2 linked regions of the Callithrix jacchus genome follow. The protein of the gene in region 2 interacts with the protein of the main gene of each other region in a pairwise test. Links are inferred from orthologs where the notes say so. Each region holds a gene or a part of one and is shown on either strand. Other genes may lie near its edges. The genes, in order: USP19 and SIAH2.

Region 1 (3,821 bases), on a different chromosome or scaffold from region 2:
TGTGGACTGAAGAGCCTATTCAGGGTAGGCTTCCTGACTGAGGGAAAAGTGATATTAAAGCTCAGAGGTGTTGTCACAGGGTTCTGGGCACATGGGGTGTAAGTGTGAGGCAAATTTGTAAAGTGGCTAAGCTGAGCATGGCTTTGAGTGCCAGAAAGAGGGATCATTAACTCCTGGTGGCCCTCCTGCCCCATCTAGTGTCCTCAAGCCTGAGAGTTTGCTGGTTGGCTCTGAGGGCCCTGAGAGCCATCAGAAAGCCTGGAATGGGCTCTTTGGGCATGAGCATCTTGTCTCCCACTCTCTGTGCAGTCACCCAGTGCCAACTATACATCCACAGGTCTCCATCACTTTTGACCCATTTCTTTATCTGCCGGTGCCCTTGCCACAAAAGCAAAAGGTTCTCCCCGTCTTTTATTTTGCCCGAGAGCCCCACAGCAAGCCCGTCAAGGTGAGGAGTAAGCCCCTACCCTCTGGGCTATCACAGAGAATGTGGCCCACCTCCCTCACTGGCTGCCCTTTTTGCCACAGTTCCTGGTGAGCATCAGCAAGGAGAACTCCACTGCGAGTGAAGTATTGGACTCCCTCTCTCAGAGCGTTCATGTGAAGCCTGAGAACCTGCGTTTGGCAGAGGTATCTTTGTCCTTCCTTGGACTATTATATATGTGGACGTGTGCGTACTCAGCATAGACGTTTACAGTCATTGACATCTACAGACATACACATGGGCTGGGCACAGTGGCTCATAGCTATAATCCCAACACTTTGTGAGGCTGAGGTGAGCAGATCACTTGAGCCCAGCAGTTTGGGACCAGGCCAGGCAACTTGGCGAAACAAGAAATCTCTACAAGAAATAAAAAACAAGTCTCTACAAGAAATAAAAAAATTGGATGGGTGTGGTGGGTATGTGCTTATAGTCCCAGCTACTTCAGAGGCTGAGGCAGGAGGCTCACTTGAGCTCAGGAGGTGGAGGTTGCAGTGAGCAGAGATCGACTGCATTGCAGCACTCTAGCCTGGGTGACAGAGTGAGACCCTGTCTCAAAAATAAATAGATAAAACATAAAAATAGACATACACATGAATGTGCCTGTGACTGCCCAAAAACAGGCAATGTGCTGTTATTTGAGGCATGTTTGAAACCAGGCATTTTGTCTGTACAACAGAAGTGCCCTTAGTTCCTAGCCATTATCTGGGTTTATTCCCCTTTGTGGTGGTGGACCCCAACTGCATTTCCCTTTTCAGACAAGGAGCTTGAGCTGCAGGACTATCACTATGTTTACTCTGCTTCTCCCTCTATCCTACTACTGCTTTCCTTTTATCCCAGTTCTGTGTGCTAGCTCTCTCCAGGGGTTCCTAACCTTTAGCCTGACAGTGTCGGTTTTCTCAGGGATAAGAGTGGGGAGGAATCTCCTTGAATGTGAACCCTCCGTGACAATATGTTGCAGTCTTATAAGGCCATGCTAGTTATAGTAGGGTAGAGTCCCTCAGTGTGGAGAGCTGGTATTGTTGATATCTGCCCAACACCTGGTCTTTCAGGCCCTCTGATGCACTAGGCTCATTATGGCCTTAGGCACTGAGATGGATGCCAGCGGAGGCATAAGCCTATTTGGGCCTCCAGACCTTACTGCTGCCCATAGACCCAAGGCAGGGCCAAGTTTTCTTACACTCTGGGGCAGGACTAGGGAAAGGGCTTATTCTTATGTGGGATCTGTGTGTTCTCTGTCCCCAGGTAATTAAGAATCGTTTCCAACGTGTGTTCCTGCCCTCCCACTCACTGGACACTGTGTCCCCATCTGATATGCTCCTCTGCTTTGAGCTGCTATCCCCAGAGTTGGCTAAGGAGCGGGTAGTGGTGCTAGAGGTGCAACAGGTGAGTGGGGGCCAACCTGATGGCACAGGGCCCTGGTGGGTGGGGCACTCCTGCCTGGTCTTGCTGAGCCAGACGACCCACCCTAGCGCCCTCAGGTGCCCAGCGTCCCCATCTCCAAGTGTGCAGCCTGCCAGCGGAAGCAACAGTCGGAGGATGAAAAACTGAAGCGCTGTACCCGGTGCTATCGTGTGGGCTACTGCAACCAGTGAGGACCCCCGTGGTCTCCCCCACCCTTCCTTACTACCTTCTATGTGCCACCCTGCCCCTTCCTGCCACACCAAGGCACATATGCTTAAGATATACCTGTCACCCTACTTTACCAGGCTCTGGGGGAGGCAGGGCTGGCATACCCAGTTCCAAGGGACTATGACGAGCCCCCAGGATGGGGCTGAGGGCCTATCCTTGTCTTCCTCTTCCCTTCAGGCTCTGCCAGAAAACCCACTGGCCTGACCACAAGGGCCTCTGCCGACCTGAGAACATTGGGTACCCCTTCCTGGTCAGTGTACCCGCCTCACGCCTCACTTATGCACGCCTCGCTCAGCTGCTAGAGGGCTACGCCCGGTAAGTGCCCAGTGGTTGGACTAGAGTGGTGTAGGTGGGGACAGAGATGCTAGATGGGCTGGTCAGGAATCTTATTTGCCTTGTTGTCTGTTGCTAGGTACTCTGTGAGTGTATTCCAGCCACCCTTTCAACCTGGCCGCATGGCCTTGGAGTCTCAGAGCCCTGGCTGCACCACACTGCTCTCCACTGGCTCCCTGGAGGCTGGGGACAGTGAGAGGGACCCCATTCAGCCACCTGAGCTCCAGCTGGTGACCCCTGTGGCTGATGGGGACACAGGGCCTCTCCGGGTATGGACAGCCCCTGACCGGGGTCCTGTGCCCAGCACCAGTGGAATTTCTTCTGACATGCTGGCCAGTGGGCCCATTGAGGTTGGCTCCTTGCCTGCTAGCGAGAGGGTGTCCCGACCTGAAGGTAAGATCCGGTGAATGACTCCGGGAGCTGGGAAAGAAGAGACAGGAGGGTTGGGGGGGGCTCTTGTTTAGGTCCTGATGGGCAGGGAAGATTTGATTATCATGTTTTCACACAGCCGCTGTGCCCGGGTACCAGCACCCAAGTGAAGCTTTGAATGCCCACACACCCCAGTTCTTCATCTATAAAATTGACTCATCCAACCGAGAGCAGCGGCTAGAGGATAAAGGTGTCTGAGGCAGCGGGTGGGAGCCATGGTGTGGTTTGAGTTGGTTGTTCTCCACAGCTGCATGACCTCTCTCCCTGCCAATCTCCAGGAGACACCCCACTGGAGCTGGGTGATGATTGTAGCCTGGCTCTTGTCTGGCGGAACAATGAGCGATTGCAGGAGTTTGTGTTGGTAGCCTCTAAAGAGCTGGAATGTGCTGAGGATCCAGGCTCTGCTGGTGAGGCTGCCCGGGCTGGCCACTTCACCCTGGACCAGTGCCTCAACCTCTTCACACGGCCTGAGGTGCTGGCACCCGAGGAGGCCTGGTGAGAACAGGGCAGCAGGCAGATAAGGGGGCAGGATGGAGAAGAGAGAGACTTGCTGGTCCTGACCCAACCTCTGTCCCCTCCAGGTACTGCCCACAGTGCAAACAGCACCGTGAGGCCTCCAAGCAGCTGTTGCTATGGCGCCTGCCAAATGTTCTCATCGTGCAGCTCAAGCGCTTCTCCTTTCGTAGTTTTATCTGGCGTGACAAGATCAATGACTTGGTGGAGTTCCCTGTTCGGTGAGCAGCGGACCGTGGTGACTGTGGGCGGAGCGTGAGGACCAGGGTGGGCATCCGGAGCACCTGCTGCTTGTCTCACCCCTCCCTGACTGGACCTGACCTGCAGGAATCTGGACCTGAGCAAGTTCTGCATTGGCCAGAAAGAGGAGCAGCTGCCCAACTACGATCTGTATGCTGTCATTAACCACTATGGAGGCATGATCGGTGGCCAC
Region 2 (2,682 bases):
CTGGGTGTGGTGGCATGGGCCTGTAGTCCCAGTTACTTGGGAGGCTGAGGCAGGAAAATCATTTGAATCCAGAGGCAAGGTTACAGTAAGCTGAGATCACACCATTGCACTCCAATCTCTGTCTTTAAAAAAAAAAAAAGAGAGAAGAAAAGAAAAGAAATTGGGACGCTGAGGTAAGCAGTCATCAATCCTCACTAAGCATTTGGCACTAATCTCTGAATTCTTTTGGGAGTATATGGTTGGGACTGAGGGAGTGGGTCACCTTGGATCAACCCCAGCACTCTGGATGTCAGCACTGGCCAAGTGTCTTCCTTCTCACTCGGTAAAGCAGGAGCAATCCTCTTCTTGCGCAGCTGCTAACACTGTCAGACAGAAATGACAGCCCTGGGAGGAGACCTGTACCACCGACAGTCAGTGGTTCAGATGTGTGAGCCTGGACCCCAGTGCTGTCATGGACCCATGTCATGACCTTGGCCCAATGACTGTTTCCTCAGTGAAAACAGTGAAAGTTCCAACCCCAGATGCAGTGGTAAAGGTTCATTGCACTTGCACACAATTGATGCTCAATAAATACCCATTATTCAATTAGGGAAATAAAGCACAACATCCATTTTTGGAAAATATTTATTAAAAAACTAGTGAATGTGGCAGAAAAACAAAACCAACACACACCTTTAAATAGCAAGCATATGACACACCGGTTATAAAGCTTTTCCAATCTACTGATCTAGTCTTTCACACCAGCTACTATCAAGTAGGGCTTCTGAGGGAAGCCATGTGTAAACGAGTCCCCTGTTCTAGTGGTGAGCAAAACTAATTACATGAGAACTAATGGCCATATGACTTGCTTTCTAGGCAATCCACCCAAAACACAAGTGAGTGACCAGATCTCAGGCGTGTGTTCATGTGGATCTGTAGTTCTAGTTTTAATTTGAGGGTCAGGGGAGGTTAGGGAATGAAACAGTAGAAAGACAAACAGTATCGGCAGAGGGCAATCTTAAAGCACCTTTAAAATCTGGACCCTTTCCCACAATTTAGCCCAGTAATTTTCAAACATTGCTGTTGAAAAGAATCACCAGATGAGACTGTTAAATTGGCAGGCTCCCTAAATCTGCAATTTTAAGATAAGCACTCCGGGTGATTCGATGTCTATTAGCCATCCAGTTTGAGAAATACTGTTTAAAATGCATTAAAACAATTCCTACCTCCCACAAACAAAAGTAAAGGAATCTGCTGACAGTCACTGTGCTTTTGTCAATGACAAGGGACCAATATGGGAAGGCAGGCAGGAAGGGGCCTCCCATTCCTAACACACTGATCTACAGAAGCCCTGTGCAACAGCCTGTCAAATGTTGTTTAGGATGTACATAAAATTTAATAAGAGAGTTGTTTTAGATCACAGAACAGCCTCTAAATCACCAACAGGCCAACCCCATTCATCCCAGGTTAATGAACTTTGTGGGGTCAATGCCAGATGGGAAACTGCTGTTCAAACAAAACACAGGTAACTGTTGGTCCTGACTTGTGAAGACATATGGAATAAAACCTTTATAAAAACCTTTATTAAACATAGAGCACTATGCTCACATAATTTGGATGGGTTACGAAAGCCACATCATGGACAACAAGTAGAAATAGTCACGTTGATTCCAAGGTTCCCATTATCTGCAAAAAGATGTGCTATGGCTGTGTCGAAAACCAGGCAGTCACTGTTCATGATGGCCGCAGCCACACCATCGTGAATGGACCGGGGTGTGGCCTCCCAGGTCAGTCTCCGCCGGTTCCCGTTCAACTCCAGTCTGTAGGCAAAGTTCTCGGCTTGCTTGCGGGTGCCAATGAGCAAGACGATGGCAAAAAACTGCTGGTGGCCTTCGTACTTCTCTTGTTTCTCCAGCACCAGCATGAAATGATGGCCGAAACATGACTGCATCATCACCCAGTCGACAGCCCCTGGCAAGTTAATGTCTGTAGCTAGAAAGACGATGTCTTCTCCCTGAAGGGTGGTAATGCTCTTGTGGGCGTGCATGAGATGGGACATCACAGCTTCCAGGGACCCCTGCCACTTGCAGGAAGCGCCAGGACAAGGGCAGGAGTAGGGACGGTATTCACAGATGTCTTCGTGTTCTGGCTTCTCTGTATGGTGCAGGGTTAGGGAACAGCCCGTGGTGGCATACTGCGGAAAAAGAAATGCATTGAGCCATGGGGCCTTCTCAAAACTTCTGTTGGTGCAACCCTCTATAAGTACTTAACTACTCTGTTTTCCTGGGCTTAAACTGTGTTCCTAACTACTTTTGCTCAAAACAAGTGAAATATTCAAGATTAAAGGTCTCAGTCTCTCTTCATCATTAGTGTTGTCATGCATAAAATCAAAGGTATTTCCTGAACCAGAAGTAGGCTGTTTTCCATGACCCTGTTCTACTGTCAAAAGGACAAGAACTAAATTCTTTTACGTCGCGCATCTCAAAATTGTTGAGCAAGTCCTGTAAAATCTGGCCTTCCCCATATTTTCTGTGAAGCTGTTTTTTAAAGAATTCAATTGCTTGGGGCTGGGGATGGGGTTGGGCAAGGAATATTATATTATCTCCAAATTAGTTTTTGCACAAAGACGACAGTGAAAACTATAATTCTGTTGTCCCTCTCCACTGTTTCCTGGCTCAAACTGGGGGCTGGCAGCCTGGCCAT

What was found.
Region 1: the proteins of SIAH2 (region 2) and USP19 interact in a two-hybrid assay, tested with the Homo sapiens proteins (2 studies listed by BioGRID). The link is inferred for Callithrix jacchus from reciprocal best matches to the Homo sapiens genes SIAH2 and USP19.

Annotation. Positions count from the first base shown.
Region 1 is NC_133516.1:31,732,801-31,736,621, reverse strand, and holds part of USP19 (ubiquitin carboxyl-terminal hydrolase 19), read left to right. Parts: intron 1-337; coding exon 338-448; intron 449-528; coding exon 529-630; intron 631-1,726; coding exon 1,727-1,867; intron 1,868-1,953; coding exon 1,954-2,072; intron 2,073-2,290; coding exon 2,291-2,428; intron 2,429-2,525; coding exon 2,526-2,839; intron 2,840-2,954; coding exon 2,955-3,065; intron 3,066-3,153; coding exon 3,154-3,370; intron 3,371-3,456; coding exon 3,457-3,609; intron 3,610-3,715; coding exon 3,716-3,821. UniProt on the Homo sapiens protein: Deubiquitinating enzyme that regulates the degradation of various proteins by removing ubiquitin moieties, thereby preventing their proteasomal degradation. Stabilizes RNF123, which promotes CDKN1B degradation and contributes to cell proliferation.
Region 2 is NC_133518.1:34,522,268-34,524,949, reverse strand, and holds the end of SIAH2 (E3 ubiquitin-protein ligase SIAH2), read right to left. Parts: intron 2,174-2,682; coding exon 1,616-2,173; 3' UTR 611-1,615; downstream 1-610. UniProt on the Homo sapiens protein: E3 ubiquitin-protein ligase that mediates ubiquitination and subsequent proteasomal degradation of target proteins.